2 linked regions of the Caenorhabditis elegans genome follow. Each later gene encodes a partner of the first gene's protein in a complex. Each region holds a gene or a part of one and is shown in the gene's direction. Other genes may lie near its edges.

Region 1 (5,163 bases):
CTAGATTCTTTTACAAGCTCACACAGCTTTCGAAACTTTGAATTATTAAGTCTAGCGTCGGCGAACAACACAAGATCCACTTTTTCTTCAAATTCCTCGGCGGAAAACAGATCTACACAATCCTGGAGCTCCTCACGAACATCTAGCTCCCTCCGGCTCAAAAACTCCTGTACTAGATGAAGATTCGTGCTGTTCATCCAGTTATGATTGATGGAAATTGTGTCTTCCTGGAATTAAATGATGTCCTTCTAAACTGAGAGATAAATAGTTGATATACCAAATTGTGGGCCTGATGGTACCAATTAGATGGGACAAACACAATTTCTCCGGGCTCTTGAACGAATTTTATCACTTTTGCCTGCTCGAATAGCCGTTCATACTCCCGAATGTCATCCACAAACCCCGACTCTGTAACGCTGCTCCGAAACAGATTTTCACTGCCTGGGGGCATCATAAACCACTGTTTTCTGCCGCAAATATTCGCTGACCAGCTATGCGATGAAACTACGTCGGAATGAAGTTTTGTCCTAGAAAGTTTGAGGGGATTTCTAATTTTTAAGAAAATTCCAAGGCTACCAGGATCCAGAAGCTCCGATATAAACGAATCGATAGTCGTCACCAAATGGATTTTCCGATTTCTCACTAGTCCATGGCTCACAATTTACAAAATCTCGAGAAAAGAAAGGATGCAAGGAGTATGAAGAGGTTCCGAATCTAAATATTTTAATTTAAAAAAATCAATTTCGAATTGAAATTCAACTCCTACTCGTTTTGAAAATGCCAATCCTTTAAGTAAACTTCTGGATCGCCCATTTCTTCCAGAAATTCCTTCAAAGTAGTGGTTTTGTACTGATTTCCTCCGCAAAGAATAGGAACTTTCGAATCTCCTGGAGCGAAACGGGATTTTCATAACAAAAAACTATCCAGACAAACCATAGGACTTTTTCAAATATTCCTTATTTGGCTGTCCATTTGGAAGCACCCAATCTTTAACGGCTGTCCAGCCAGAAGTGCTCCACTCGCCAAGGATAAAAGGCTCATTTTTGAAGCCGAATTTTACTAAAATCTCTAGCCATGGAGTCGATGGATCAGAAATTCGAGGAATTTTAGATTTCATCTTGAAATTTGCAATGGAAAAAATAATTATTCAAAGAAAATCACAGAAAATGCAACAAAAAAAACAAAAAAAGAACAAAAAACAAGTCGAAAAGTGCGCCCGGGTCGTTTGCTGACGCATCTCTTCAAACGAGACGCGCTGCTGGCGCACTTCTCGTGCCCTGTGCGTGCATTTCCGCAACAAAATTCAACACTTGTTTTGAAACGCACCGCCCTGTTTCTTTTTTCAATTTTGATAAGAAAATCAGCATTGTTTCAGGATGATTAACATTCCAACTGCGATTCTGTGCCGCTTGGGCGCCAGATCGTCGATTTCCCGCTCCTTTGGAACATCGATCGTCACCAAGGTGGGGATTTTTTGAATTTTTCCGTGAAAATTGTTGATTTTTTGTGTACGCATGAAGGAGAAATGTATAACAGACACATTCTTTTCAATTAATTATTTATAATATTCACAGTCCGAGGCAAAGACGCCAATCCAGAAGTTCGGATGGGAATACCTGTTGAAGCAGCGCTCCAAGAATCGCCCAATCGCTCCACATCTCACCGTCTACCAGCCACAATTGACCTGGATGCTCTCCGGATTCCATAGAATCAGCGGTTGTGTAATGGCCGGAACCCTTCTCGTCGGAGGAATCGGATTCGCAGTTTTGCCGTTCGATTTCACCGCTTTTGTGGATTTCATCCGTAGCTGGAACTTACCATGCGCGGTGACCGCTGTCTTCAAGTACATCATTGCTTTCCCCATCATTTTCCATACTCTTAACGGAATTCGCTTCTTAGGATTCGATTTGGCTAAGGGAGTCAATAATGTTGGACAGGTAGGAGTTGAAATTATTAATTTAATTGTTTTAAAATAAAAATTAATTTTCAGATCTACAAATCGGGATATCTCGTATCTGGACTTTCGGCTATTCTTGCTCTCGCCATTGTCTTCAACTCTTGCCAGAACAAGAGCAACAAGACTGCCTAGGCACAGATGCTCCGCCTTCTTTTTTCTTACTCCGCCCCAGCCCTCGACAATTCTCGTCAATTTACTTTTACCGTTGATTTCTTCGATTTTCTCTCTTTTCCGTAGATTTACCTCTCCTCTTCGTTTTTTTTTCTCTGTCTAGAATGTATATTATGATTATGAAAACGAATAAAAATTTTAGATGACACGCTGCACGGCGGACAACTCGCTGACGAATCCGGCGTATCGGCGACGAACGATGGCGACTGGCGAGATGAAGGAGTTTCTGGGGATAAAAGGCACAGAGCCCACCGATTTTGGAATCAATAGTGATGCTCAGGACTTGCCATCACCGAGTAGGCAGGCTTCGACGCGAAGAATGTCCATCGGAGAGTCAATTGATGGAAAAATCAATGATTGGGAAGAGCCAAGGCTTGATATCGAGGGATTTGTGGTAATTTTTTAATTTTTTTTTGTAAATAAAATTTCCTGCTGCTTCCAGGTCGACTATTTCACGCACCGAATCCGGCAAAACGGAATGGAATGGTTTGGAGCACCGGGATTGCCGTGTGGAGTGCAACCGGAGCACGAAATGATGCGAGTTATGGGAACGATATTCGAGAAGAAGCACGCGGAAAATTTTGAGACCTTCTGTGAGCAGCTGCTCGCAGTGCCCAGAATCTCATTTTCACTGTATCAGGATGTGGTTCGGACGGTTGGAAATGCACAGACAGATCAATGTCCAATGTCTTATGGACGTTTGGTAAGGGAGAAAATACTGAAAAAAAGTTTGCAAAAATTCGAAAATTCGCCAGAAAGGTGGCAGAAAAAACATTTGCAAAAATTGTTTGTTTTCCTTCAGGAAATCAGCAAAACTTGGTCAAAAATAGCCCAATTATGTGTCTTTTTTGAAAGTTTTCCATTAAAAAACCACGAATTTTGATCCCGGATTGTAATTTTTTTTGTTGATAAATTAGCAGAAAACTTTACGAATTCGATTAAAAACGTTATTTTCTATTCGAATATTTTTAAAGCATATTTTCCTTGATTTGTATTTGCGAAAAAGATCTGCTGATTTATCAAAAATCGGTTTTTAAATGTAAAATTTGTGGAAAATACATTAAAATTCGATTTTTGAACTTTTTTCTTCGAAAAACAGGTTTTTCTGCTGATTTGCTGAACGAAAAACCCCAAAAATTCAATTTTCGAACATTAAAAACCAGAAAAATCGTTTTTTTAAGCTTAATTTTCCGCCAGAAATGAACGAATTAAATTGCAAATTTCTAATTTTCAGATAGGTCTAATCTCGTTCGGCGGTTTCGTAGCTGCAAAAATGATGGAATCCGTGGAACTGCAGGGACAAGTGCGAAACCTCTTCGTTTACACATCGCTGTTCATCAAAACGCGGATCCGCAACAACTGGAAGGAACACAATCGGAGCTGGGTAAGGAGTATTTGCATAGACATTAGAAGTCAATATCCCCCTTTCCCTAGTACCCTTGACTTCCCGGGGTGTTGGTAAGCCGATAATTACAGGGTTCGGTAGCCTCTTGGGGGGACAGCTGGAAACATATTCAAGTATATTACTGTTTATGATAATGTTATTGTTACGGGAATACAAAATTCGCAGAATGCGTATTTCACAACATATTTGACGCGCAAAATATCCAGTAGAGAAAACTACAGTAATTCTTTAAATTTTTAAAATTTTTACAATTAAAGAAAATAACCACTAATCAAAAGAAATTAATTTCAAAAATCGAGCCCGTAAATCGACTACAGTAGGCATTTAAAGAATTACTGTAGTTTTCGCTACGAGATATTTCCGCCTCAAATATGTTGTGAAATACGCATTCACGGATTTTTGTGTTCCCCGGAATATGCTCTAAAGCATTATTTGTGAAAATAAAAAATCAAGAAAAAAATTGCAGGACGACTTCATGACACTCGGAAAACAAATGAAAGAGGACTACGAACGAGCAGAAGCTGAAAAAGTGGGACGCCGGAAGCAGAACAGACGGTGGTCGATGATTGGCGCTGGAGTAACAGCTGGAGCCATTGGAATCGTTGGAGTCGTCGTGTGTGGGCGGATGATGTTCAGCTTGAAGTAACGTATTCAATTTGTGTAAATAATTAATTTATGTACAACTCCTTACATTTGAATCTCATTTTTGCTCACTGATTCTCTCATCCTTTGAACTGGAAGAAGTGGGAAAGCTAGGCCACAAATTACGGCTCTCTGTGTCGATTTACGATTTTACTGCAATTTTTTCCGATTGCCTTTTTTTTTGGCCAAACCCTACTTCCGCGTAATATCAACTTTTCCGTGTTCTGTACATTTCGTCAAAAACCCTGAAACCCTAACTTTTCTCGCCGTGGCCTAGCCTCCCGCTTCTCTTCCACATTTCCAAAGTACCCCTGTATCTCAATAATTCATCTTCACTTTAACTGTCTCTTTTCGTGTGGCCTCTTCCAACTCCCCCCAAATTCCTGTACGCGTACGCGACTTTGTATTTATTTTTTTCAAATTGTTTTCTCTCTACAACAACAAAAAAAACGGTTCTTTTATTCAACCCTTTTTTCGGAACGAAACTGCAATTTTGATAATAGGCGTGCGCAAGAGAATCCGGTTTTCATTTTCGCCATCACGTCATCCAAAAAAGTTTAGTAGGAAAATATCATTTTTTAATATAATGATTCATCTTTCTCGCCTCTTCTGTCTCGAGACGACGGTCAATTCGATGGCCTTGAATTTTTCGAAACAAAAATGTTTTTGTTTAGTGTAAACGATCCCCCCGCCTTATCGCTGTTTCACCATCAGATAGGCTCCGCCCATTTTGATTCCCTTGAATTTTGTCGGTATATAAAACAAAAAACGTTAGTGCACGATTCAAAAAACAACAATGCGTGCTTTACTATTCACCTCTGTTGTTCTTTTGGCTTTGGCTTTTGTTGAGGCAAAGAAGCAGACTATCACTGTCAAGGGTACAACTATTTGTAATAAGAAGAGAATTCAGGCGGAGGTTACCCTTTGGGAGAAAGATACTCGTGAGTTTTCAGTCTTGTTTAGCTTGAAACGGCTTAAAAAGGACTAA
Region 2 (3,739 bases), on another chromosome or scaffold:
TGATAATTTTACATTCACATTTAATTTTACATTCACATAAAAAAAGAATCACACATTTTTTTCAATTGACAAGTTTTTGATAAAGTGGAAGACATCGGAGATATGACCCGTCAAAGTTGCTCAGCAGGGTGCAAAACTAAAAGAGGAAATACTGTGAAACATTTTGACAATTTAGAGAAATACACAGCGAAAGAATGAAATCTAAAAAAGCGTATTAACTTTAACTAGATAAACATACTAACTTATTGAGGTAAATCTGAGCAGATCCTCTTCCTATTCCCAATATTTACCCAATTAGTCTTCTGATTGCGCACCTGCATATCTTAAGTACTCAAATACAACACACATCTTGAGAAATGATGACTCCACACTCAGAATGCAATTCACACTATTAGAAGCCATGTGCAATATGAAAACAAGCTTATCCTGAAGCTGCAAACCCATTTACCTCATCAATTATTTGCGATGTGCCGACCTGTTGCATGGCTTCCGACACTGTAAGGGGATAATCTGTTTGTCGGCACGCTTCAACCGATTAATTGGCGTGTGAAACGATACTAATCCAGTCGATTCTCGACTAACTGTAAACACTTTGATGCTAACCGACGTGCCGGCTAATATACTCTCTGTGTTACGTCAGAATCCTTTAAATATGCAAATATGGATAAGGTGGAATGATCTCAAGAGGTGTGATTGGGTCAAATTGGATTACGTAATTCTTAAGTGGGCTAAAGGTATACTGTAACTGGGGTGCAATTTATGTGGGAAGTGCGGCGAAGTTATATTGGGGTTTTATAGATTCTATAACTTGTTACATTGATTTTGAATAGATTTCAATTTTCAGAAAAGTGGGAAAACTGTATTTACATTTTGAAAGAAATTTAATGCAACAGAAAATAGTGATTGGCTGGAAAAGTGCCCCTATGTTATAAACTTTTTGTTGAAGCTTTGAAATTTTTCACAAATTATTCAACTGAAGTCTCACACGTCGAAAAATGGCCAAACAAATTTTTAAAAAATAGAGGCCTGATCATAGTTTCTGCCATTTCATGGCCGTCTGTGACGTCACATGAGGTTTTTCGACTATTTGGCTTCCAGGGTTTTACCTGTTTTTAATTTCAAAATTATATATTCTTCAGTAAATCTCTGAAAGTCACAGTCGTTTCAGCGAACTTTCAAGGCCGCGTGTGACGTCACACTCTTGCAAAGAAAGCTGCACGTGGTGTCAGGTTGTCCCATAACGGTTTGCTCTACGAAAAATGCGGGAATTTTTTCATCAAAAAATGTGACGTCAGCACGTTCTTAACCATGCGAAATCAGTTGAGAAGTCTGCGTCTAAGTTCCCGCGTTTTTTGTAGATCACAACGGAATGGGACATTCTGACACCATGTGAAGCTGGCCTTGAGATAGTTTTGTAGATTCAAAATATTTTTAATGTCCAATATTTGTTTTCAAAACATTCGTTAAAATGTGCAGAATATGTTAAACTGAAGGTTCCTAGGTTTAAAACTTCAAGCTAAAGCTTTCCGGCTCAGTTCTCAGGTTCAGGTCTGTAATCTTTCTGTAAGCTTGTAATCTTGTTAGTTCCTCAGACAGACTTAGCTGCTAAATTTATTTCATGTCTAATATTACACTTCAAGAGCTATGAGTTTGTCTTCATAAAAGTTTTGGCTCCCATATAGGAACTTTGGAACATCATTTGATCCCCGTTTCGAAAACGTTCGAAAATTGTTTTGTTTCTTTATTTAAACCCGACAGTTCAAATTCTTTATCTTGATCAAACCCTTTTTTTTCATCTGTCCATTCCTCGGCCTTAACCTAATTTATACAGTTTCGCAATAACCTCCCCCGTGCTTGCTCCAGTACCAGCTGTTGCGTCACGACTTCTTATTTTCAAAACTCAAATCTTGCATCACACCTCATCAATTAATCATCCTCATCAAGCCTGCAAACTTATACCCCCTTCTCTAGACCCCTCTCCTGACATTTGACACTCCTGTGGTAGAGGGGTGTGGCCTTGCCTGGGCGGGGCGTGCAATGAGAAGCTGTGCACGCACACCATTCATTCACACCCAAAACATTCACACCGATTAGTCGTATTCTAACTTCTCTTTTCAATTCAGTTGATATGCTGGTAAGTCTAGAAATTATTTATTTTTGATCTACATACCTGTCCAATATTGTTCGTCTCCCCCTCCCCCTCCTGAGAAACAAATTTTTGTTTTTGTCTGCTCGCCTCACCCTCAACCTCTCTCTCTCTGGATGTGTTCGTGGTGTAGAAACAAAAACAGATTTTTGTTTTTTTGTTTTTTGTTTCTTGTTTTAGAACTTGTATCCTAGTAATTGTTAGACATCTCCCTACTATCTTTCCCCTATATAAACCCCCTTCAAAACCTTACTAATTTCCAGATGCTCACCTTTGCCTCAACCTCTTCGGATCTTCTACCAATGTCCAACGTTTTTGACGTTCAATCTTCCGTTTTCTACAACGAAAAGAACATGTTCTACTCCTCGTCTCAGGACTTCTCCTCGTGTGAAGATTCTTCTCAATTTGCCGACGACTCGGGATTTTTTGGTGAGTTTTTTTTGTTTTGATTAGACTATAGTAAAAATGATTTTGAAAGTATTTCAAAAAGTTGTCAAAATTATGAAAGCTGATCATATTCCAAGTATTTTTTGCAATTGAAACTTTTCAAATAAGACCAAAATTAAATGTAATATTTGTTTTCATTTTTGAGAAATAAAAAACAAAAAAAAAAGTTGAATCCTATTCTAATTCATTCCAATTTTCAGATGACTCTGAGATCAGCAGCATCGGCTACGAGATCGGCTCCAAGCTAGCAGCAATGTGCGATGACTTCGATGCTCAGATGATGTCCTACTCGGCCCATGCTTCCGACAGAAGCCTCTTCCATCGTCTTCTGGACTTTTTCGCTTTTTAAGTGATCAAAATCTCCAACTTTTCTCCAATTTGTACCATGATTTCTCATAATACCCGGTGTTTTTTCTTCATTTGTGATTATTTTTCGATCTCTCCGTCTCCAACTCCCCTCAATATTTGTACCATAGTCCTTTATTGCTCATATTTATCTAATAATAAATATGGTTTTTTTTAAGAAATGTGTGAATAGTTTGTTTATATATTTCAGGGTTATAAATTGAAAAAAAAGAAGAAACGGAAAAATGAAAGTATGCCTACGATTGTATACTTTTGTTTTCAATTTCGTTTTCCGCCTGCAACACCAGATGTGAATAAAAATTGAAAAATTGGGAATGAGGGCTTCGAATATAAGTATAAAGGCAGGAGTAGGCACAAGGCAGGCGAAGGCACAAGGCAAGCAGATATTTGTGAACCGAACGTGGATGGCATTGTTAGAAATGTGTAGCATTTGGAAACAAGAACCTAAACCGTCAAATACTTGGAAACTTCAAAACATGTCGACTTCCATTCCTTAGGCTACCGTATTACTTTGACAACTCAAATATCGATTCATACTAGAGATATCAAAAAAAAATCTGTTACAATATTGTAGGAAAAGACATAGCAAATATTATGTCAGTTGAAAAATTTCTGGCAAAACGAATGACAATCGAGACCGATGACCTGGCCAATTGTGCGTACCCAATCTGGCACCAAGCATAACTACGGTATCGTTTTTCCCGCATGAATCATTTATGCTCGTTGTCGCCTTGTCTTGACTTGTCTCCCCAGAGGTTTGTCAAAAGAGCCGCCACTCGT

The links.
Region 2: the proteins of ced-9 (region 1) and egl-1 are in contact, whole or in part, in a crystal structure (PDB 1TY4), measured with the Caenorhabditis elegans proteins. Residues at the interface, in NP_499284.1 of Caenorhabditis elegans: Met119 (codon at 2,673), Ile122 (codon at 2,682), Phe123 (codon at 2,685), Lys126 (codon at 2,694), His127 (codon at 2,697), Phe131 (codon at 2,709), Phe134 (codon at 2,718), Gln137 (codon at 2,727), Leu138 (codon at 2,730), Val141 (codon at 2,739), Asp151 (codon at 2,769), Val152 (codon at 2,772), Arg154 (codon at 2,778), Thr155 (codon at 2,781), Val156 (codon at 2,784), Ala159 (codon at 2,793), Thr161 (codon at 2,799), Gln163 (codon at 2,805), Ser167 (codon at 2,817), Tyr168 (codon at 2,820), Gly169 (codon at 2,823), Arg170 (codon at 2,826), Ile172 (codon at 3,363), Gly173 (codon at 3,366), Leu174 (codon at 3,369), Phe177 (codon at 3,378), Arg219 (codon at 3,504), Leu227 (codon at 4,015), Gln230 (codon at 4,024), Met231 (codon at 4,027); in NP_506575.2 of Caenorhabditis elegans: Ser63 (codon at 2,808), Ile65 (codon at 2,814), Gly66 (codon at 2,817), Tyr67 (codon at 2,820), Glu68 (codon at 2,823), Ile69 (codon at 2,826), Gly70 (codon at 2,829), Ser71 (codon at 2,832), Lys72 (codon at 2,835), Leu73 (codon at 2,838), Ala74 (codon at 2,841), Met76 (codon at 2,847), Cys77 (codon at 2,850), Asp78 (codon at 2,853), Phe80 (codon at 2,859), Asp81 (codon at 2,862), Gln83 (codon at 2,868), Met84 (codon at 2,871), Met85 (codon at 2,874), Tyr87 (codon at 2,880), Ser88 (codon at 2,883).

The regions. Positions count from the first base shown.
Region 1 is NC_003281.10:10,332,902-10,338,064, forward strand, and holds ced-9 (Apoptosis regulator ced-9), read left to right. Parts: upstream 1-2,270; coding exon 2,271-2,522; intron 2,523-2,570; coding exon 2,571-2,831; intron 2,832-3,362; coding exon 3,363-3,512; intron 3,513-3,999; coding exon 4,000-4,179; 3' UTR 4,180-4,621; downstream 4,622-5,163. Other genes in the region: jmjd-4 (Jumonji domain-containing protein 4), read right to left, coding at 1-227, 278-527, 577-714, 767-887, 934-1,117; mev-1 (Succinate dehydrogenase cytochrome b560 subunit, mitochondrial), read left to right, coding at 1,377-1,463, 1,575-1,937, 1,991-2,089; ttr-15 (Transthyretin-like protein 15), read left to right, coding at 4,972-5,116. UniProt on the Caenorhabditis elegans protein: Plays a major role in programmed cell death (PCD, apoptosis). egl-1 binds to and directly inhibits the activity of ced-9, releasing the cell death activator ced-4 from a ced-9/ced-4 containing protein complex and allowing ced-4 to activate the cell-killing caspase ced-3.
Region 2 is NC_003283.11:14,430,685-14,434,423, reverse strand, and holds egl-1 (Programmed cell death activator egl-1), read left to right. Parts: upstream 1-2,064; 5' UTR 2,065-2,128; coding exon 2,129-2,134; intron 2,135-2,409; coding exon 2,410-2,575; intron 2,576-2,793; coding exon 2,794-2,942; 3' UTR 2,943-3,116; downstream 3,117-3,739. UniProt on the Caenorhabditis elegans protein: Plays a major role in programmed cell death (PCD or apoptosis) by negatively regulating ced-9.